3 linked regions of the Lonchura striata genome follow. The protein of the gene in region 1 interacts with the protein of each later gene in a pairwise test. Links are inferred from orthologs where the notes say so. Each region holds a gene or a part of one and is shown in the gene's direction. Other genes may lie near its edges.

Region 1 (7,877 bases):
TTTCATCCTAGCTGTTGGAGGAATGAGACCTAACTGTTTTTAGTATGAGTCTCAATTACAAAGATGTTTATCCTGAACAGACCTCACACCTGTTATTAATAGGAAAGTAAAACAATTAAAAGAGTAAAGGAGATTCAGAGTTATTCCAGCCTATCCTCTTTTCCTTGTGAATTCCCTATAAAGATTTTAGATAAGTAATTTGTAAATGCTTCTTTACCTCCCATTCCTTTTCAAGTACAAATCCCATTTGTTGCTTCCTTGCAGGGCAGAATGGCACTGAAGGGCCAGTGAATTGGAGCAAAAATAAGGACCTTTGTTCTTTAGAAACAGAAAGTTCCAAAGAAATCTATTTGTAGTAAGGTAAGTACCATGATCTTTGGTAGTTAGAGATGTAGCTGAGGTAAAGCATACTTGCCCTTACTTTGTGACCGTGTCTCCAGGATGGGGAACAGGGACTTCCAGGGTGGACCAGACAGTTCTGACCAAAGGACAACTGTAATCTGTTTAATCTTTCTCCACTTTCTTCTGCCTTCCAGGTGAATAAAAAAACCTCTGTCATCTCTACATGGTTACTGTTAAACTCCAACACAGGCCTATTTCTGCAGATGAAATATACCTGGGGTGTTTCAGAAGCTCCTTTACTGACTGTGTTTCTACTAGTCTCACTTGTTCAGTGGCAGTTACCAAAAAAGTTCCCATGTTCTTGCTTCTTGTTCCAGGATGCAGTAATATAATGCCAGGTTGAAAGAGAGAAGTTATAATATGTCACTAACCAGAAGACCTCGAGGAAACTTTTGACCACAGTGCTAGCTGCATTGTGCAATTCTGACTCTGATTTCTGTTCTGGACCAATTCACCTCTCCTCAGCTTAATGTTTCTCACTTTCATGTGGTCTGGAGATGCACTTTTGATCTAGTCTTCTGGAAATCTGTGCTTTAGTTACCAATATGCATTAGATGTTTGGGTATTATATCAACTAAGGCTCTCTTTTTCTTAGTTTGAGATTAGGTGGATTTTTTTTTTTTTTTTTGTCTTTAAATCCTTGGAAGAAAATACTTTCCTGGCAAACAATTTCCATTGTTTTAGATACTGTGAAATGTGATGTGGCTTATATGAGAAACTTGGTGAACTTGGGGCCATTGTCTGTTTGGGTTTTTTTGTGTGTTGTAAAGTTGAAATTAATACTGGTTCTTTGCATAAGATGCATGTTCCCTAAAACATGATTTAAGGAAACATCTGCTCACAACACATGTATTTGAAAAAAATAAATGGTGAAGTGCAAATACACATTGCTACTGTGGATCCCCATGAAAACAGCTTAATCTGCTTTCCCTGAAGTCTGTCTTTGATGCAAACTGAAGAGGGCCTTAGGTGAATGAAATGTCTCAAAAATAGTATCTCTGAAGAGCCCATCCTGCCTTTAATAGTCTGTTAAGAAAGCAAGACTCTAACACACTCAAACACACACACATTGTTGCTTGCTATAAAACTAAGGTTCAGTTAAAGAAACTGGACACTTTAGATTGTAGAATAGCAAAGGTGGATGAAATTTGAAGAGTTAATTGCTGCTGTTTGGTACTTATGTTATTGCCCAGGCAGAGAGACTGTCTTTAGTTTAGATTTGTAGGATTTGTCATTACCAGTGTTCTCCCAAAAAAATGAGCATGGCTTTAGTATATTTAAAATGTAGCCTTGCTTTAGCATGATTGCGCAAAAATAACAAAACAAAACAAAAAAAAACCTTGTAATGATAAAGGCATAGGATTTAATGATTAAACTTTAAATGTGAATTGGAAACATAGCTTGTAACTTAAAATGTTTTCTGTGTGGAAGCACCTGGGTTTATCTGAGGACAGATTGACCACAAGATTACTGAATGCCAATGGCAATTACAGCCTTATTGGATAATGCACTGGACAGATCCTTAGCCTCTGTAAACTGCCCTAGCTCCAAGAAGTTCAGAAGAGACAAATTTACAGATCTGATCCACATTTTCCTATAGTGAAAGTATATATGTTTTTTACTTTCCTTAACCATCAGCTCTCTATCTTTATCTAGTCATATATCAACCCTGATGTTTCTGTCTGTGAAGAACTGCACGAGTTTGGACACTAATTTAGACTGAACTTTGGTCAAAAATGAAGCCTTTTAATTTTTAACTTCCTTGCTTAGCAGATATCTTTAATAAGTAAGCAGTGTCGTTGTTAGTTCTAAATTACACCTTTAACTGCTTTTCTGAGTGCTTGCTTACACTAAAAACCAGGCAAGCAAAAACATCCCAAACTGTATTTTAAATCAAAAGTAGAGCCCAATGAACAACTGCATTGCCTATGTTTTCTCCTTCTAACCTTCGAACAGACCTAGTCTCCATCTTCTTGAACATGCATAATCAACTGAAAATCCGTAGGTGTAGTTCAGTAACAAATCATGAGCTGCCAACAGGAACAGTCAACAGAAAGATGAGAAAAAGAGATGTGTTGCACCTACGTGGGCAATTTTGGGTGTAGTTATGGGAAAGCCTTGAGGAGTTTTTATTCTTGTCTTGATGTATCTAGTCTTGAAGAAGTTCCATTCAATGGTGTCCAGCAAGACAGGGTCCCTTTAGTTGGATGATGAGGTGCCATGGTAAAGTGAGAGGAGAAAATTTTAGTTTAAGTAAATAGAGGTTAGACTTCTCCTGTGCTGGTTCCATTGTTACTATTGTTCAGCAGTAAAATATCTGGGCCTATCAGTTTATATGTCTCTAAATGAAAACTTTGTCTTGTGAGTGCAAAGAATAATGGGTGAGAAGGGCATGACCCACCATCTCAGCTCACTGTCAACATCATCGCCACCATTCCTGTTGGAGACTCCTTCTAGGCTCTCACCTATGGGAAAAACAGATGTGTAGAAATGGTGATGGTGAATGGGGCAGGAACACACCTTCTGGCTGCCAGCTGTGAGGGAGTGAAACAGGTAGGTGCCTCCCAAAGCTTGCATCCAGGTCACTTCAAGCGTACAGTGACATTAGATTACACATACCTCCTGGCCTGGGGATGCAGCTCCCAAGCACTGTTTACCCTCTCTGCCTCTTGCTGGGATGTGAACTGCTTTAAACAATTCCTCTTCTAATGAAGTACGGTCAGTCTGTGTTGGCTTTGCAGGCACCCATCTGTAGAGAACAGATCTGCTTGCTCCTCTCTCTGAGGATCCCTTCGTTCCCGCCCCATCGGCCTTGCTGGGAGATTAAAGTAGCAGCGGCCCCATACACAAACGCAGCTGGTTCCGTTTGGTCAGCCTGAGCCTTGCTGTGAAACCACGACAAGAATTCCAGTAAGTTGGCAACACTGAAACACAAAGAAAACAACAATAGGAAAAGACCTTCCGTGCAGAAAGGAATGTTTCAGGCGCTATTCCCCTACAGAGAAAGGAGAGAGGGTGGGAGGGAGGAGGGAGATTTGAAGAGGGCATGTCTCCCCCTCCCCCGGCAGCTCTGGATCTTGTGATGGAGAGATCTTATCCTCTCTTTGTGATTCAGAGGTGCCAGGAAGCTAATTGAATATTCTGATCTGCCCCCAGTGTTTCTTGTGGCTTGACCCCGGTGCTGTGTCGTACCACCACACCAAACAGCCCTGAACCTGCATAAATCACAACCTTGCAAAAGCCTATGCTCCACATCTTCTCTCCCCACCCCCCTCTTTACTATCTTGATAGATAGAAAGCCTTTACGGAAAGGTTTAGAGGGATTAGCGTCCTACAGGACCTGGAGAGAAATCACAGTCTGCTAATAAGCAGCGACATGTTCCTGTGCAACTTCTGCAGGAACAATACAGGCACCTCTACCTTTTTATTGAACTTGCAATCCATGGCAAAAAGAAGAATTAAGGTTTGAAATATTGCTTAAGTTCTTTTGCAGCATCAGCAAACAGCCCTTGCAGTATAATGAGCATGGCATGATGCTAATGCAAAAGATATGTGGTATCTGTAAAGGTGGTGTCATTAAAATTAATCTGACAGAACCTCTTGGAAGACAAATAGAGCTATCCTTCTCTCATGATATGTATGCACAGTAGTCACTGTTGACGTGCATGTGCATATGTGTACATATATGAAGAAAGTATAGCTTGGCATAACTAAATTTCCAACATGAAAGACTGTTTTTGACTACTAAAAAATTATTTAACTCCACGCATTTTATATATGATGCTTCTGATCCTGCAAGCAAAGCCTCTAAAAAGTTTGTTCTTTTTACCAAGGCTGCATTCCAGCCTGAAGTTAATCTTTATCTTCTCCCTGTGATCCTACACACTACTCTTCCCTTGTTAGTGTATATGGTTCCTGAAATGGCAGCAGTAAAACACAGGGAGATATTTCTTTGTGTATTGCACACACTGTTGGAGAGTTAAAACTAAAGGAGCATATCTCTAGTTGGTATCTTGAGAATTCACAGCTAAAGCACTTTACCAAACTGATTTTATCTGCTAAGAAAGTGCAAAAGTAAATTTCATCCCCACAGTTTTCCTTTCATAGTGTTTGTTGTGAGCACTACTAATTTCTAAGCTTTTCCTCTGTCTGCATCAGTGAGTAGATGCTAGATTTTTTTTCAGAGTTATCAAAAATACTTTTTCTTATTTGGGACACTAAAACCTATGACATTCATTACTTGCCACCCGCAGTTCCCAGAACTACTCAAAATAGATGAGCACATTAAATACAGCACCAATGGACTCTGATACGAAGTGAGCAAAGTGCAGGGTCTTGGAAGCATCTTGGCTATCCTGCAAAGTGTGGAAGGAGGGGCAGAGGGAGCCTGTGGCCGCAGGGCCTGGAGCACTGCCTGATTCCCTCATGCTGGTTCCGGGGCCGCCGGGTATAAAGAGCTTTATGCAATGTCTGGAGGGTGGGAGTTTATAGAAAACGCGATGTCTCAACAGGCGAACACGCCTTTCTTCTGCAACTAGCAGGACAAGAAAAAGATACCAGGCTCCTTGTGCTGGTGCTGTGCAGATCAGCACCCCGGAGTCCAGAAGCCAGCTTCTGAGAAAGCTGGAGCATCCCAACCCAGATGGGACCTCACCATCGGATGGATGGAAGAGCAACAACTGCTTGCAAACTGCTCATATTATTCACTGCATGCCTGATGCAGGGCAGTTGCCAAGGTAAGTGCTATGCTCCAGCCTCTCCGGAATAGAAATTGCACCGTAAGGAGCATATCCCTACTCTGGGGACTTTTATAAGAGAAAGATAAGGTGACTGAAAGTAGAGGGTTAACAGGCACTGATTCAAGGAGTTCTTTCTAATAGTTAGGGGAGACAGTTGGCTCTTTCCAGGAGTCATTTGATGGAGTCGGTTTCTGTTGTGGAAAAGTAAGTAGCGCCTTAAAAGCACTGCAAACATCACCGATTCTTCAGCTTAACTTCATCTTGATTTCAGATTATCGTAGGATGCTTCCTTTGATTGTTTTTCTAGTTTGTAGAAACTTTTTTTTTCCCTAGTTGTGTGTGTAAGCAACAGACAAATGTGGCTAATTTTTGATGGACATCTCAGACTTTGCAATTCCACGGTCTAAACGCATGGTTTTATGGAAATGCCAACAGGCAGGTTTTTCTGCGAGTCCTGATTACTGGCTGTGAATAAGGCCAAAAAAACCCCAAAAACAAGCAAACAAAAACACCCCAAAAACCAAACCACCCCCACAAAAAACCAAACAAATAAAAAACAAAAAAAAAAACACCAAAAAACCCCAAAAACAAAACAAAAAAACCCCAACCACCCCAGACTTTTTGCGTTTTTTCCTTGTGGTATTTGTGCCTTTCTTGCTACTGAAATACGGGTGATTTTACAGAGCAGAGTTCACCTGCATTCCACGAGCTGGTTTGGTAACCACTAAAATTGTACCTAGAGTTGTTTTTGTTGAGGAGTGCACAGCACTTGCACGTAGACAGGTTGGGTCGGGGGGCAGGGGGTTATGCATGGACATGCTTGCGTACGTGTGGTATATGCAGTCATTTACAGAAAGCTATAAGAAAGAAACAGATGCTTAGTCTGGAGCACAATAAGCTCCCCTCAGTCGGTCTCAGACGCAGATTTGAAGTTGAGAGAGGGAGAACTTTTTCTCTGGGCTTTACTGTTGCTAGGCGACATGGAGGAGCATGTGACTGGCAGAGCAGGCTGAGTGCCGCTCCTCCAGTGCTAATCTGGCTGCTGGGGATGGAGCAGCCGTGTGCCCAAGTCCTCCCTCCGGCCTCTGCAGCCGATATCCCTGCCTCCCCTTCTTCAGCTGTTTATTTGCCTTGCACTGAAAATCAAGCCTGTCGTGTTGGAGCACGAGTGGCTAAAGTGCATTTTTCCTCCGCCCCGCCTATTGACCTGCAGTTCTGCTGCTTCTGTGTGTGTCTGCATATTACGTGTGTGTTCAAATGGTTAATCTGCTTTCTTTGCTCAACTCTTAGTTTAAGCTCCTTAGACAGAATCAACTAAGTAATTATACAGCAACTGCTGTTAGCAGCTCCCACTTATGAACAAGGAAATAAGAGATAGCTAATGTGCTGGAGACCTGCAAAAACTCCAGCCAAGGAGGTCACACTGGGCAGAATTAATCCTATGCACTATTATTTTACATTGGGTAGAATGGAACTTGCAGTACAGATAAAATTTTTTTGTTGTTGTTCTGTAACTGCTTCTGATTGTCCAGAACATATCTGATAAAAGACATGACAGAACAAGCAGAGATAGGCTTTGAACTAGCATCCATAGTAGTATCCATACAGATTTTTTTTTTTTTTACTTTTATGATGTTCCTTCTGCTCTTTCTCCCAATCTCCCCTCCCCCCTGCCTCCACAGTAGAATAACTGTGGAAATCAAACACTATAATTTTAGTAATGGGTGACTGATACTAGGAAAATACCTGGATAGCAGGTATTTTGCCTGCACTTTGATTATGGCAGTGGAATATTTGTTAACCATAAATTACAGTTCCTTGAATGCTAAGATCATGTCAGACTCTTATTTCAAAAAGAAAATTTGAAGAACCATGAAAGCAATCCCAAGCCTTTGAAGGAAAATGGTGAAAATCTCTTATTTTGCCTTATCCTCAGTATTTCCAAAGGCACTTCACTGATGTTTTTTGAGATTTTTTTTTTTGGCAATTTTTGAGTGTTCCCAATATAAGATGGATGTTTCTAGAAGAATTTCACCTACACAATTCACCTTGTTCAATTGGTAGTACTCTTTTGCGATTTACCTAATTCTGGTTCTACTGAGAGTAACTGTAGTGCTCATAAACAGAATAAAAAAGTTTTGTAATTGCCAGCAGTACAGGGTCTGTTTCTCCTGCCTTTATAGGTCTTGTTGTCTGTGGGGTAATTGTTGTCAGAAAAAAGTGTAGCTGGAACCTAAAAAGTAGTTAAGTGAAGGCAGTGTCAAGCAGGAGCATTGTGGGACTATTGCTTATGTTTGTTTTGGGGAATATCAAAGTGCTTCACACTCAGCCATAAACTACAGACAATGGATGGATGTTAGTGCACCAAATTTGATTTGTATCCTGCACCTCTGCAATGATAAATTATCAGCTTGATACGTCCCAGGCAAATATGGCTAAAATTTTTTTACCATTATGAGGTCTCTATTAATCTGAGAATGAAGACTATTCTAAGAATGAATGCATATGGTGTGATAAGATATATAATCACAATGAACATTTGCATGAAGTGTGGCAGGCCATTAAGAAATAGGTATGGTAAGACCAAGTAGAGAAGAGTTACAGCAGTTCTTTCTGGAAGTCATGGAGAAACATGTTTTCCATAAGGCATTGTAATAGTTCAATCTCCAAATCAATAATTCAGTGTTTTTTAGATATTGTTTTCATTCAAAATTATTTAATTTTTCTGTAGGATGA
Region 2 (7,633 bases), on another chromosome or scaffold:
CCCTTCGCTTCCCAGATTTCCCTGTCCCTCATTCCCGAGGGTTTCCCTTCGCTTCCCAGATTTCCCTGTCCCTCATTCCCGAGGGTTTCCCTTCGCTTCCCAGATTTCCCTGTCCCTCATTCCCGAGGGATTTTCCTTCGCTTCCCAGATTTCCCTGTCCCTCATTCCCGAGGGTTTCCCTTCGCTTCCCAGATTTCCCTGTCCCTCATTCCCGAGGGATTTTCCTTCGCTTCCCAGATTTCCCTGTCCCTCATTCCCGAGGGTTTCCCTTCGCTTCCCAGATTTCCCTGTCCCTCATTCCCGAAGGATTTCCCTTCGCTTCCCAGATTTCCCTGTCCCTCATTCCCGAGGGTTTCCCTTCGCTTCCCAGATTTCCCTGTCCCTCATTCCCGAGGGATTCCCTTCGCTTCCCAGATTTCCCTGTCCCTCATTCCCGAGGGTTTCCCTTCGCTTCCCAGATTTTCCCCGGGCCGTGCCGGGCGCTGGTGGATCTGGGATTTCCCAGCTTTGACTTTTCCTCTTCCAAAGGGAAATTCCCTCAATTTCTGCTGGAATCTTGGCTCTGGGAGCCAAGGTTGGATGGGGAGAGGGGCCGGGATTTGGGGATTTGGGGATTTGGGGATTTGGGAATGAGGAGAGCCCGCGGCTCCGTGGGAAGGACTCGGCTGGAAGTGAGAGGGATGGGGGAAAACTTGGGATAAGGATCGAAGGGATGGATTTCCCTCAGGCTGGATTGTCCCAGCAGGAATTTCTCCCGTTTGTCGGAGCTTCGCCGGGTCCGGGTGGATCCTCGGGATCCGTTCCGGGAGCTGAAGGTTTGGGATCGGCCCAGGGTGGAATTCACGGATCCTGGGAATGGAAACGCTTGGAAAACTTCCTGGGCTGTGCCCGTGGGATCTCCTGGATCCCGGGGATCCTCGGGATGGGCTGGGAGGTCCATTCCCCACCAGGATTGGGGAATTGTGGGATCCTTGCCCATGGAATGCCGGCGGTGCCTCGGGAAGGGCCCCGAGCCCCCCCGGGCTGGGCAGGGGCTGCCGGGATCCGTGCAGGGAGAGCCCGGGAAAAGTGGGATCTGCCCCGGGAAAAGTGGGATCTGCCCTGGGAAAAGTGGGATCTGCCCCAGGAAAAGTGGGATCTGCCCCGGGAAAAGTGGGATCTGCCCCGGGAAAAGTGGGATCTGCCCCGGGAAAAGTGGGATCCGCCCCGGGAAAAGTGGGATCTGCCCCGGGAAAAGTGGGATCTGCCCCGGGAAAAGTGGGATCTGCCCTGGGAAAAGTGGGATCCTCCCCGGGAAAAGTGGGATCTGCCCCAGGAAAAGTGGGATCTGCCCCGGGAAAAGTGGGATCCGCCCTGGGAAAAGTGGGATCTGCTCCAGGGAAAAGTGGGATCTGCCCCGGGATCGGGGCGGCTCTGCCGGCATCGGGGCAGGATCGGGAATGTCCTCCTGGCTCTGCCCAGCTCCTGCCAGGAGCCAGCGGGGATCGGGATCTGCTCCAGGGAATGAGCCCCGGGAAAAGAGGGAGCGGCCTCAGCCCGGCCAGGGCAGGCTGGGATTGGAGATTTGGGATCATTTTCCATGGAAAAGGGGCCAGGCCCTGGCAGGGGCTGCCCAGGGAGCTTTGGAATGCCCATCCCTGGAGGTGCCCGAGGAATTCCCGGAATTCCACTCAGGGCTGGGATCGGGCCCAGCTGGGACTCGGTGCCCTTGGAATTTTTTCCAGCCTCAATAATCTGGGAATTCAGTGCTCACACCCCCATGAGAATTCCCAGCACATCCTGGTTATCCAGGGAATGAGCCCTGGGAGAAGAGGGAGCGGCCTCAGCCTGGATCAGTGGGGAGATTTGGGATCATTTTCCATGGAAAAGGGGCCAGAGGAATCCCGGAGCTTCCCGAGTGGGATCCCAAAGGAGCATCGGGCCCAGTTTGGGATTCCCATCCTTGGGAATCCTTTGCAGTCCCTTACAGCCGCTGTTCCCGCTGGCAGTTTGGGAATCCCGGGCTTGGGAGGATCCTGCTGGGTTTTTGGGGAATGTTTTCCCCATGGAATGTGGCTCAACCACCCCGGGGGGAAGCTCCTGGAACCCCAAATCCCCGCCGGGGCAGGGCCGCGTCCCAAAACCCCAAAGGAACGGAGATGGGAGCGGGAATGTTGGGGTGGAAGCTGGGAATGGGACACGGAGGGGACTGGGGGACACGGAGGGGATTGGGGACACAGGGGACACTGAGGGGATTGGGGGACACAGGGGACACGGAGGGGATTGGGGGACACTGAGGGGATTGGGGGACACAGGGGACACGGAGGGGATTGGGAGGGAATTGGGGACACTGAGGGGATTTGGGGACACAGGGGGGACACTGAGGGAATTGGGGACACTGAGGGAATTGGGGGACACGGAGGGGATTGGGGACACAGGGGGACACGGAAGGAATTGGGGACACTGAGGGAATTGGGGGATACTGAGAGAATTGGGGGACACAGGGGGACACGGAAGGAATTGGGGACACTGAGGGAATTGGGGGACACGGAGGGAACTGGGGACATGGGGACACTGAGGGGATTGGGGACACTGAGGGAATTGGGGGACACAGGGGACACTGAGGGGATTGGGGGACACGGAGGGAACTGGGAACACGGGGACACTGAGGGGATTGGGGACACTGAGGGAATTGGGGGACACAGGGGACACTGAGGGGATTGGGAGGGAATTGGGAACACTGAGGGAATTGGGGGACACAGGGGGACACTGAGGGAATTTGGGACACAGGGAATTGGGGGACACAGAGGGGACAGTGAGGGAATTGGGGGACATGGAGGGACACTGAGGGAATTGGGGGACACGGGGACACGGAGGGAATTTGGGACACGGAGGGAATTGGGGGATACTGAGAGAATTGGGGGACACAGGGGGACACGGAGGGAATTGGGGGACACAGGGGGACACGGAAGGAGTTGGGGAAACAGGGAATTGGGGCACATGGAGGGACACTGAGGGAATTGGGGGACACGGAGGGAATTGGGGGACACAGGGGGACACGGAGGGAACTGGGGACACTGAGGGGATTGGGGACACTGTGGGGATTGGGTGACACAGGGGGGACACGGAGGGAACTGGGGACACTGAGGGGATTGGGGGACACTGAAGGACACGGAGGGAACTGGGGGACACGGAGGCACCCCACGTTCACGGGTGGCAGTGCGGGGGTCCCTCTGCCCGCCCCCCAAACCGGGGCCGTCCCTGGGGTCCCCCCGCACGTCCCCGCGGCCTCAGCGGCGGCCGCTGCCCGGTGCCGGCGCCCGGTGCGCAGCACCGCGGACAGCTCCGGTCCCGGTCCGCCCGCGGCCCCGCAGAGCCGCGAGCACCGTGCCGAGCCCCAGCACCCTATGGACTGCCCCAGCACCCTATGGACTGCCCCAGCACCCTATGGACTGCCCCAGCACCCTATGGACTGCCCCAGCACCCTATGGACTGCCCCAGCACCCTATGGACTGCCCCGAGCACCCTGCAGAGCCCCAGCACCCTATGGACTGCCCTGAGCACCCTATGGACTGCCCTGAGCACCGTGCCGAGCCCCAGCACCCTATGGACTGCCCCGAGCACCGTGCCGAGCCCCAGCACCCTATGGACTGCCCCGAGCACCCTGCCGAGCCCCAGCACCCTATGGACTGCCCCGAGCACCCTATGGACTGCCCCGAGCACCCTGCCGAGCCCCAGCACCCTATGGACTGCCCTGAGCACCCTGCCGAGCCCCAGCACCCTATGGACTGCCCCGAGCACCGTGCAGAGCCCCAGCACCCTATGGACTGCCCCGAGCACCCTGCAGAGCCCCAGCACCCTATGGACTGCCCTGAGCACCGTGCAGAGCCCCAGCACCCTATGGACTGCCCCGAGCACCCTATGGACTGCCCCGAGCACCCTGCAGAGCCCCAGCACCCTATGGACTGCCCTGAGCACCCTGCAGAGCCCCAGCACCCTATAGACTGCCCTGAACCCCTAAAGACCCCCTTACAGAGCCCTGAGCACCCTACAGACCCCCAGCACCCTATAGACTGCCCTGCCCCCCTACAGAACCCTTCCCTTCCCTTCCCTTCCCTTCCCTTCCCTTCCCTTCCCTTCCCTTCCCTTCCCTTCCCTTCCCTTCCCTTCCCTTCCCTTCCCTTCCCTTCCCTTCCCTTCCCTTCCCTTCCCTTCCCTTCCCTTCCCTTCCCTTCCCTTCCCAGGACCCCTCCCCATTCCCATACCCCCCCAATCCCATCCCACACCCCCAGATCCCCCCAGGACCGCCCCTCATCCCATCCCACCCCAATCCCATCCCATCGATCCCACCCCAATCCCATCCCATCGATCCCACCCCATCCCATCCCCCCCTCCCCTCCCTCTCCCTCCCTCCCTCCCGCCGCCCCCGCCCCTCCCGGCTCCTCCCTCTCCCCGTTTTTCCCGCAGCTCCTCCCGCCCCTCTCCCCGTTTTTCCCGCAGCTCCTCCTCCCTCTCCCCGCTCGTTTCCCGCAGCTCCTCCTCCCTCTCCCCGCTCGTTTCCCGCAGCTCCTCCTCCCTCTCCCCGCGGCTCCCGCAGCTCCTCCTCCGTCTCCCCCGTGCCCCCATCCCGCGGCTGCCCCCGCCCCTCTCCCCGCCGCTCCCGCAGCTCCTCCCGCCGCTCCCCCCCGCTCCCGCAGCTCCGCAGTCCGGCGCAGCCCCGGCCGGAGAAAATGGCGGATCGCGCCGAGATGTTCTCGCTCTCCACCTTCCACTCGCTCTCCCCGCCCGGCTGCCGGTGAGCGGGGGATGCGCGGGGTGGGATGCGCGGGCTGCGATGCGCGGGCTGCGATGCGGGGTCGCGCTGCCCTTCCCCTCCCGCTGTCCCGCCCTTGCACCGGGCCCGCACCCCGGTACCCCCCCCCGCCCCTTCGTTCACCTTGGGATGCGGGACCGGGCGGGCTCCCGCCGTCCCCCGCCCCGCCGCGGCCCTTCCCGGGATTAACGGCGCAGCCGCCGCCATCCGGCCCCCGGAGCGGGCGGGGGGCGCGGGGTCCCCTCCGTCCCCTTCCCCTCGCCGCGGCGGGGAGCCCCCCCGGCCTCCGCCTGCCCCCGGGGCCGCCGCATCCCGGGGCCGCTGCGGGAGGAGCCGCCGCCGCCTCTTTGTCTCTCCCGAGGCGCCGCAGCGGCCCCGGGATGGGGACGGGAATTGGGGGGGGGGCGCCGGTCCCGGGAGTGGGTGGGGGGCGGCGGCGGCTCAGCACCCCTCGAGGCTCGGCGCGGCCGGGGGGATGCCGGGGGGTTCCCGCAGCCGGAGCCCCGGGATCGGTCACCTTCCCGCAGGGCCGCCGGGGGTCCCGCGGGGAGGGGACGGGGCTGGGCCCGCCCCGCGGCTGACCTTGGGGGGGTGCGGGGGTGCGGGGTCGGGGTGCGGGTCGCGGTGCGGGCCGCGGGCCGGGCTGGCGCACTGCGGGGCCCGCACGGCCGGCAGGGCAATGGGAAGGGCGGGAGGCGGCGGCGAGGGGCGCCCGGAGGGCCCCGGGGCTGCGGGAGCTGCGGAGAGAGGAGCGGGGGACGGCGAGGCTGCGGGACGTGCCCTTGGGTGGCTGTGGCCTGTGCTGGCCAGGGCTCCCCTCCTCTGGGCTGTCCCCGTCGCCAGGATGTCCCCTCCTCTGAGCATCTCGGATGTCCCCTCCTCTGAGCATCTCCATCTCCGGGATGTCCCCCCTCCCTGAGCATCCCCGTCCCCGGGATGTCGCTGTCCCCGGGATGTCCCCCTACCCTGAGCATCCCCCTCCCCAGGATGTCGCTTTCCCCGGGATGTCGCTGTCCCCGGGATGTCCCCTCCTCTGAGCATCTCGGATGTCCCCTCCTCTGAGCATCTCCATCTCCGGGATGTCCCCCTACCCTGAGCATCCCCGTCCCCGGGATGTCGCTGTCCCCGGGATGTCGCTGTCCCCGGGATGTCCCCCTACCCTGAGCATCCCCGTCCCCGGGATGTCGCTGTCCCCGGGATGTCGCTGTCCCCGGGGTGTCCCTGCCCGCGGTGGCGCAGGGAGGGGACACCACGGCCTCGCTGGGGCTGCTCGGCCCCGGGCCGGGCCGTGGGGCAGCCGGGCCCAGCCCGGGCAGCGGGAGCTGCGTCCGGAGCCATCCCAAAAGCCGGGGCCCATCCCTGGGGCAGCCGTGGCCGCGCTCGGGGCTCCCCGGTGGTGCCGAGATCCAGCCGGGAATGGTGGCGGAGGCCCCGAACCCGGCTCTGCCTTTCCCAGGGAGCCGCGGGGAGGGGGTGCCCAGCCCGGATGGGGCGGCCGCTGGGGTGGGACCCCCTGGCCGGGAGAGGGAGGCCGGAACGGGTGGGAATGCCCCTCCGATCTGGGAATGTCCCCTCGATCTGGGAATGTTCGATTGGGAATGCCCCTCCGATCTGGGAATGTCCCCTCGATCTGGGAATGTCCCCTCGATCTGGGGATGTTCGATCTGGGAATGCCCCCTCGATCTGGGAATGTCCCCTCGATCTGGGAATATTCGATCTGGGAATGTCCCCTCGATCTGGGACTGTTCGATCTAGGAATGTCCCCTCGATCTGGGAATGTTCGAGGTGGGAATGTTCGAGGTGGGAATTCCAGGCGCACCCGCAGCCGGGCCTTGGGATGGCTCCAGCCCCAGGTGCCAGGCAGGAGCCCCCGGTCCCCAATTTGGGGTGACCACAGGGTCAGAGTCAGCTCCGGGAGCAGCTGGGCACGGGGCGGGCGGGGGTCTCTTCCCGGCCGTTCTGGGGGTCCCTTCCCGGCCTCTCTGGGGATCCCTTCCAGGCTGTTCTGGGGGTCCCTTCCCGGCCGCTCTGGGGGTCCCTTCCCGGCTGTTCTGGGGGTCCCTTCCCGGCCGTTCTGGGGATCCCTTCCTGGCCGTTCTGGGGATCCCTTCCTGGCCGTTCTGGGGGTCCCTTCCTGGCCGTTCTGGGGATCCCTTCCTGGCCGTTCTGGGGATCCCTTCCAGGCCGTTCTGGGGATCCCTTCCTGGCCGTTCTGGGGGTCCCTTCCTGGCCGTTCTGGGGGTCCCTTCCCGGCTGCTCTGGGGGTCCCTTCCCGGCCACTCTGGGGGTCCCTTCCCGGCCGCTCTGGGGGTCCCTTCCAGGCTGTTCTGGGGGTCCCTTCCCGGCCGTTCTTGGGGTCCCTTCCCAGCCGTTCTGGGGATCCCTTCCCGGCCGTTCTGGGGGTCCCTTCCAGGCTGTTCTGGGGGTCCCTTCCCAGCCGTTCTGGGGATCCCTTCCCGGCCTCTGGGGGTCCCTTCCCGGCCTCTCTGGGGGTCCCTTCCAGGCTGTTCTGGGGGTCCCTTACTATCCGTTCTGGGGGTCCCTTCCCGGCCGTTCTGGGGGTCCCTTCCCATCCGTTCTGGGGATCCCTTCCCGGCCGCTCTGGGGGTCCCTTCCTGGCCGTTCTGGGGGTCCCTTCCTGGCCGCTCTGGGGGTCCCCTCCCGGCCACTCTGGGGTCCCCTCCCAGCCGTTCTGGGGGTCCCTTCCTGGCCGTTCTGGGGTCCCCTCCCGGCGCTCCGAGCCACCGGAGCTGGCAGGGATGAGGAAATTCCCTCGGCCCCGGCAGCGCTGGCACCGCCGCTGGCCCCTGCCCGGCCCTCCCGGCCCCTGCCCGCCCCTGG
Region 3 (7,836 bases), on another chromosome or scaffold:
GAATGATCTCAATAGTATTTTTCAACCTAGTTGATTCTGTCACTCTGAGAAGGAGGAATTGTTCAGAGAATAAGATCATGCCTTGATATGAGCAAAGCAGTATCTCAGAATAGATGTGATCCAAGTAATAAGGAAGCTACACCTGGGCCCAGCACTCTACAGCATTTCCTTCCCTGAATGAGAGCTCCCAAATGGAGCCTGTGTCTGGTGTGTAGCCTGTGCAGTGCCTCATACTGATAGAGGATGTATTACACATCAGCTCCTTGAAGTGAGTCTTCCTTGAATTCAGAGTCTAGTGTCCATTCTGTTCATTCTTTTCTGTATTGGCATCTGTGTGTTGAATTTCCACACGGTAAACTCCTGTACCTGCCCACTGCTCCTCCTTGCCGTTTGCATTCACACTGGTGCTTTGTAGCCTAGCGAGGTGATTGTGTAGCTTTCCTGGCTCTTAACCATACACTCCTTGCTGGGTCCTGTTACTTGTCAGGTCAGCACAGTGCTGGCAGAGTGCCTCTGCCTGCCACCAGAGAGTGCAAGGGAGGGTGGTACTGCAGGAGATTCTCTCTTGAGGCTGTTTACAAGAGGAATCAGATTGAGTAGCTCATCCCGTGCAATGGGCTGCTGTTGGCACTGTTTTCATTTGCTGTCCAAAACCTTTCATCCCTGCCTGACACAGATAGTGTGGGGCTATATGTGAGCTTATGCAACTAACTGCTTGGGGAGTACAGGAGTTGTCTCCCACTGGGATAATCAGATTCAGTTTTGGAGCCTGTGTTTGAACCCAGAGCAACAGGGTTGCAAGTAGAAACTGAGTCAAATGTACCTGAGAAACCTGAAGTGGTTGAATTGAGTCTGTGAATAAATTTAATGAATAGCTGAAGAACCTTTCCTTCCCATTCCCTGGGGCTTTGATCTTACGTTCTTTTTCTGCAGAGAATCCACTGGGCAGACTGAACAAGTAAACAAAGAGTCACTTTTCTTAACCTTACTTTATTCTAAACTATTTGTAGTTTGCCTGGTGGATAACCCAGTTATCAACAGGTCTTGTCTCTAACCCAGCTGTTACTCCCATTGTCTTGGGGGTAGAAGGGTATAAAGAAAAAGAGATACTCCCCTACCCCCATCTTCTGCTGCAGAAAGAAGAAAGGGGAAAGATGTGCACTTTGTCTAGGTTACAGAAATTGTGACTTCTGTCATTTTGAGAGTTTCATGCTTAGGCAATGGTCTGTAAATAAAACTTTTTATAAATGTCTTTAACCCTCTTTTTGCTGTCATCCAAATTATTTCATTTGGTAAATGGAATTTTTGGGGCTGGATCTGTGGGGGTAAAGAGTCAAAGGGAGGGGAGGCCACATCTCCTCAGTGATCTAGAAGGCTTTGTGGAGGCAAGGGAGATCACATTTGCAAGGTTTCTGTCAATACCTGGGATATGGATGGTAGTATATGGAAGAGCTGCAGCTCAGGTAGTAGCACTGGGAATGACACGCATCAGACCAGTTAAAGATAACGGAAAAGCTTCTTTCAAGAAACCTTGTAAATAGGCTGGGATTCATCTACTTTGGCATCTTTTCCCAGCTGAAATAATACAGGTGGGTAAAACTGTGTGACAAGCAGGGAATGACTGTTCATTGTTTTCATTGATACTTAGAATTTGGCATGCTTGGTTAAAGTACAAGATGGCAGATTGAACAAGTCTGTGCCTTGCTTAGCTTTGTGACACATTTTTCCTCAGTTGTGGGTGCTAACAGTTTGAGTTCAAAAAGATTTGGCCAGTTTGTGGGGAAAGAAAAAGCCATCAGTAACCATTAGACCATCTTTGTTTCAGAAGCAGCAGGGGACTGCTGGAGGCTGTTGTAAAGAAATAGCATGAAATGGACACCAGTTTAGGGGTTTCTGTTCTCTGTGTCTCAGGGCAAGCTGGCAATGCCTGACCTGACATAGGCACCCCTAACACGGGTGTAGTGTGAGCTCTTTGCTTGGGCAGAGGGAGCAGTTGCCTTTTGATGCTCTGAGAGCAGTGGCTTTGGGATGCTCCCCACGGTGGTGTGAAGGCTGCTTTCAACTAAACATGGATACTGGAGCAGAGAAGTCCCACGGAGCTGTGAACAGTTGTTCAGCTTGGGTCTCCCGTCAGTGATGGAGCCTTGGCTAATGACTTCTAAGCTAAGTAATGAACTTGTATTAAATACACTAGACTTAGCAATCTAATTAGCAAGGACAGAGTCAAGTTCTTGTGCATCCTGCCATCCTCCTTGGTGCTTCTGTGTCGATGCACTTGCTGGAACCTCTACCTTAGCAAGAGTTCCATGACGTACATTAATTTTCTTAGTAACCAGCAAGACTTAGGAAGTGCATGTAGCCATGCAGTTCCTTGTGAAGGTTCAGCAGTGGGGCTTATCTAGGAAGGAAGTGCCTCAGCTCATGGTATTGCTAAATTGTTCTCTTGTTTCTGGCAAGGATCTTCTGGTCTTGGAAAAATAAAACTTCAGTGCTTGGGGTGGCTCACACATGGCAAAAACCTTCTGAAAACATCAGCATATGCCTTAAAAGATGATGAACCAGAATGACAGTAAACTCAGTCCAGCTTTTTCTAGCCAGAGTGGAATAATGTAAATTAAAGCTGAAGAGATTGGGTTTGAGGCTCCTCGTCTGTGCTGGCCATGATACCTGTTTTACCTGTCACAGGAATGATGGTGATGTGGCTCAGGATTGGAAATGGCTAACCTTGGATTTTTAGCAGAACTGCCTGCTCCATGTGCTGGTGCTTGAGAAAATTCCCTTCTTCCATGTCTCTTCTGTCTGCACAAGGAAGGAGCTGGAGTGGCTTCAAGTGGGGCTGGCTGAAAGGTCTGATAATAGAAAACACACCTAGATATGAAGAAGTGGAGCTGGAAATGTGGCCATTTGAGGCAGAGGGGGAAAGAACAGTAAGAAGGATGGCTGATGGAAAAAGAGGAGTCTGGTATCACAGCTGCATCTGGGTGGAGATCAGATGGTTCAGCTGGGGACGAGGAGCAGGAAAACTTCTCTGAGCACATAACCTCTCCTCAGGTTTCCTTTAAGGCTGAGTTGGTCTGGACTGAACCTGATGGTCAATTGGACAATTTGAAGGAGGAAAATCAGCAAATGCCTTGTGGGCAGATACTGCTGGGATGGAAGTGCTATCTCCTAATTTGCAGCAGATGTGCATGCACTCTCCCAGGGGCCGTGTGCACGACTGTGCATCCGAGGAATAGGCCTGACTGACAGTAGTGCAGGTAGGAAGGTCCATTTGGGTCTCCTGCCAGGCCAGCCTGAGTCAGGGATGGTGACCTGACTACAGGTCACGTCACTAAGGGGTGAGTTTTTGGTGCTTGGCAATCAAGCAGAAGGTGAGCTGCAGTGATGGTGATCTGGCTGTGGGACAAGGCAGCATCCTTACCTTATGCCCCAGGTCAGAGGCCAAATAACAGCCATGCTGCTGAGATCAGTTCTGGTAGATGGGGTTTATGCTTTGAGATGGAGCTACATCAAAGCTCCCCCAAAGCTCCTGGAACGAATGCTGGTGAGTCTCTTGGGTCCTGCATGTAATACAGTTCAGTCTGTGTATCCAAACAGCAAAGGGGACACTTAGATCGCCCTCAGGAGGCTGCCCCAGGGTTACCTGCACATGGTGACCCCGGGGGTGTGTGCTTGTCTCCACACTAGTCCAGGAATAACATCTCTTTCCAGTTTGTCTGGTAGGAGACTAAGACTCCTGAGAGAGAGCAGGACTTATGCCTTGGAGGGCTCTGCCTGCTTTTCTCTGGAGGAGCAGCTGACATCCTGGGTCTTGGCCAAGAACTAATACATCACCTCAATGGCAGTCAGCTCTGTGGTGTGAGAAACACTGATGGGACTGGATGTTTGAACTGCTAAAGAAGTGCCACTCATGCCATCCAGGACTCTCAGAGACACAGATTGGCAGCACAGTGGGCATGCAGGGAATAAGGAAAGTTCTCCTGTTCAGGTACAGAAGTAGCCTTGAGATCTAAAAATACTGATGCTGTCCACTTCTGTCCACAGCACAGTTTTCTGAGCTTGCAAAGCATGGGGAGAAGAGCAGGGAAGAGAAACCTGCCCAGGCTGGTAAGGAAGAGTAGCAACAATGAGTACCCACCCAAGATAAAATGCTTCTTGGAACATAGCTAGATACAAAAATGGGTTTGCCCTTTCTAGGAGAGGCCTGAATCCTTAAGATTCATTTTTCCCCCCCTGCTTTGTCCCTGTGGAAGGTATGTGTATGCTGCTTTTTAAATTCCCTTTGCAGTGCTTGCAGCCCTGCTGCAGGGATAGGTCTATACGGGGGCTGCCAGACCTGTTGCCAGGTGCGGCAAATATGCCATGGGTGCCAAAGTGCAGCGTGGTTGCTCCTGCTGCTCCTGCTGCCTGCAGGCGCCTCCCCGCTGCCGAAGAGACCCCTGCAAGTGGCCCCTGTGTCCAGCCCCTCGCCCTGGGCTCCTGCCTGCCCACTCGGCCAGCCGGCCCCGCTCCTGGGGTTGCTCCTCCCAGCCTTGGGAGACCCCCGGCCGTCCCTCGCACCTGCTCTTGAGGGTGCAGCCTCCAGCTGCGGGCACATCTGTCCCGCCGGGGCCGGCGTTCGCCGTGGCCCGGGCGGAGCGGACGGGGTCGGGGTGCGAGGTGACGCCTCCATCTGTGCCGTGCCTGTCCTGCAGCTGCCGCCGGGAGCCGCGGGATGGAGCCTCCGGGCCGCGCCCCCGCTCCCCCCGCCCGGCGGCAGGTATGTCCCTCCCCGCCGGCACCGCCAGCATCCCCCTCCCTTCATCCCTCCTTCCCTGCCTCCCTCCCTCCCGCCCGCCCTCCGCCTGCATGGAGAGAGCCACAGAATGGCGGAGCGAGAGAAAGGAGCTGCATCCCCGCCCGCCTCACCCTTCCTGGGGCTGCACCTCGCCTCGCCCCCCAATTTCAGGTACCGGCCGCCGTCCCCCCGCGGAACCCTCTCGGGGCTGCCCCTGCCCCCTGCCCGGGGCAGCGCTCCCCATCTGCTGCAGCCCCCGCCCGCACGGTCGCGCCGGCCCCCGCCTCCTCCAGCGCTTCTGCCCCCTCGGCGCGCAGCCCCCCGGCCCGGCCATCCCTTCTGCCCCCCGCCCCAGCCACCGCTGAACCCCACCGCAGACATCGCTCCAGCCCCCCATGGCTGCTCAGCCCGCCCACCCAAGCCATGTTGGCCCTCACCCCACACATACACCACTGCAGCTTCCCAGCCCCCTGCTTGCCCTCGTGTCCCCTCGCACCCCATCCCGCCTCCTTACCTGTCTCATCTCCTCTTCCAGCACCTCTTCCTCATGGAAGAAAAAAGCTTCATCTCTCTCCCCTCCCCAAGAAAAGCCTTTTCCCAGCCCTTTCCTAGAAATCCCAGGTGCTTCTGCTTCCTTGCTACCCCTGTGAAACAGGAACCCCAAGTGAGACGGTGGGAGAGTGCCAGAATTGATCCTCTTAGCAATACCAAGTGCTCCCATCGATTTGGGATGCAGGGGGCTGTGTCTCCTCTGAAACCCAATGAGGCTTGTCACAGGGACTTCCGATGGCGTGGGCCAGGCCAGAGATGCCTGTGGGTTTTGGAGCCTCTGGTGCCTGCTAAGGGTAGCTCTGGCACACGGATGTGCTGGGTAGGTAAGGGAGGAGCCCTGCCCCTGCCTGCAGGTGCGGTGTTCACTTGCCATAAGGGGAGGCTCGCTGCTCCTGGCAGCTGTGCCCTCGTCAGCCATTGCTCTCTGCTTGCCTCTGCCACACAGGGGTGCTGGGGGGAGCTGCCTGAAAAAAGGGGAATGGTACCAGCTGCCTTGCGTGCTGAGATTTTGGGTGGAAAGGAGAGGATGGTCCTCACCTGGGACCACAGCTAAGATCATGCCCTCCTCTGTCAGGCCCAGCCCCTGAGGCTGGGGAACCCATGGGTCCCTGAGAGGAAACAGATGGGTGCAGTCGAGCAAAGGTAGTGCTCAGGCAATTAATATTTGAAGGGCTGTGCTTCTGGACCCCCGTTGCTGGTGGCTCCGGGTCTTTGGCAGCTGCCTCCTATTGCAGCGCTGCCTGCGAGAGCTGCTGGGAGCTGTTGCAACATGGCTGGTGTACCCTGCAAAGCCAGCGATTAAACACTGCCTCTGGAATCATCCACCATGGAGAAGGGGCTTGGCCACTGAGCCAGGGGCTGGAGGCTGAGCTGCCGAGCAGCTCTGGGCCTGCCGCCTGCTGTCCTGGAGGTAGCGGCTGTGCCCTCGGCATCCTCCTGCTCCCCAGCAAACAGCCATGCCCTCGGAGGGAGAATGAGCTGCTGCTTCTGGCTGGGCCTCAGATCTTTGGAAAAGGAGCCCCGTGTGCTGCCAGCCTGCTCCAGGGAAGAACTGACCTCGTGAAGGATGCTGTGCAGCTGGGTGGAAAACTGAGGAGTCAAGGCAGGAGTGCAAAATCTTCCCCGGGCACCAAGCTCAGGGTGTAAGTGGAAGTAAATGCAGTGATGTGTCTGAGCCTGGGGCAGGGTATGGCAGATCAGAGGTGATGTTGTGGTGGGGAGTGTCGTGCGAGAAGGGAGCCGTGCTTGTGTTTCAGAAGCTGGGTTATGTGTCACAGCATGGCTTGTGCATGTCCCAGGTCCTGCATCCCTGCTGCAGGGCTCAGCGAGGGGCTGTTCCCCGCGGATGAGCTGGACCCAGCAGCGATGAATGCGGTTCAGAGTGAAGGCTCAGACCATGGCTGGCAGTGAGGTGAGCACTGCCCTCTGCCCCTGCCTGCTGCCTGCAGGATGAGGTGTTTCAGATTTCTGCCCTTTGGTACATGCATCTGCACTCCCAGCTCTGAGTGGTGACATGCCAGTCCAAGCATTAGGTGATCAGTTGGCTTGAATTGAGAGAGGGCTTGGTCCTGGCCAGCAAGCAGACTGAAGCATTGAAGAGACCAGGCATAGTGGCCTGGCAGTGATGGTTTTGTGTTGTCTGAGAAGAAGTGGGAGGAAAAGGATGGTGAGATAATCCCTCCTTTAGCCAGGAGGTCCTCCAGAGGTATCTGTTCATCACAATGAGAATAACACCATTTTAGGAGACAGCAATTACAAAAATCATTCTCATCCATCCTCCCTTAAGCTTCTCAAAGCCTTGCAGTGTGGTCTGTGTTCACTGGAGCTCCGTAACATCTTTCTCTGGGAAACGGTGTTGCAGCTCCTTGCCCTGCTAAGAAGCTTTGGCTGTGCTTTGTGGCAGGCTTTCCTGTGAGGGGCTTTCTGGAGCCTCTCTGGGTTAGGGGTCCCTCTACCCAGCATTAGAGGGACAGGGAGGACTGGCACAACTGGGGTGAAGCTGGATGCAGAGCTCACAGTGTTGCCTGTCCCACTGTCCCCAGGACTGTGGCTTTAATGTAGATGGAACCTGGGAGGGGTCACTGACTGATCCCCTCTTATCTCCTTCAGCTTTCCCTGATAAAAGTAAAGGGCATCCACCTAGCTACTGGGTAGGAGGACACCTAGGGGAAGAAACCCTTGGGGAGTTATTTCCATAGGTCAGGAGAGAGGGAAACTACTCTACTACTCAGGGAGTGCTGTCAGAAATCACAGCCCTTTGGGAAGGGAGGGGCTCTCTGAGAGAAGAAGTTCTCTCCGTCTTGTCGGGAAGTTCAAAGATGCACCTTCGGGCTGAGGCAAAAATCAGTTTAGTTCTGTGGTTTGTTTTATGTGTCTGTCGTGCTCATCTGGAGCTGTCAGCAAAGCCTGTTTGGAGGCAATGAATGAGCTGGGCGTTGGAATGGGGCTCCCTGTCTTCTTCTGAGGGGAGATGGAAGGGTTGTCTTCCTCTGAAGGAGGGAGAGAGG

What was found.
Region 2: the proteins of LRP2 (region 1) and MAPK8IP2 interact in a two-hybrid assay, tested with the Homo sapiens proteins (2 studies listed by BioGRID). The link is inferred for Lonchura striata from reciprocal best matches to the Homo sapiens genes LRP2 and MAPK8IP2.
Region 3: the proteins of LRP2 (region 1) and MAPK8IP1 interact in a two-hybrid assay, tested with the Homo sapiens proteins (2 studies listed by BioGRID). The link is inferred for Lonchura striata from reciprocal best matches to the Homo sapiens genes LRP2 and MAPK8IP1.

What each region holds. Positions count from the first base shown.
Region 1 is NC_134610.1:19,577,100-19,584,976, reverse strand, and holds the start of LRP2 (low-density lipoprotein receptor-related protein 2), read left to right. Parts: upstream 1-4,871; 5' UTR 4,872-5,044; coding exon 5,045-5,138; intron 5,139-7,877. UniProt on the Homo sapiens protein: Multiligand endocytic receptor. Acts together with CUBN to mediate endocytosis of high-density lipoproteins. Mediates receptor-mediated uptake of polybasic drugs such as aprotinin, aminoglycosides and polymyxin B.
Region 2 is NC_134607.1:72,594,125-72,601,757, reverse strand, and holds the start of MAPK8IP2 (C-Jun-amino-terminal kinase-interacting protein 2), read left to right. Parts: upstream 1-4,630; 5' UTR 4,631-4,709; coding exon 4,710-4,774; intron 4,775-7,633. UniProt on the Homo sapiens protein: The JNK-interacting protein (JIP) group of scaffold proteins selectively mediates JNK signaling by aggregating specific components of the MAPK cascade to form a functional JNK signaling module.
Region 3 is NC_134608.1:38,226,172-38,234,007, forward strand, and holds the start of MAPK8IP1 (C-Jun-amino-terminal kinase-interacting protein 1), read left to right. Parts: upstream 1-4,833; 5' UTR 4,834-4,865; coding exon 4,866-4,948; intron 4,949-7,836. UniProt on the Homo sapiens protein: The JNK-interacting protein (JIP) group of scaffold proteins selectively mediates JNK signaling by aggregating specific components of the MAPK cascade to form a functional JNK signaling module. Required for JNK activation in response to excitotoxic stress.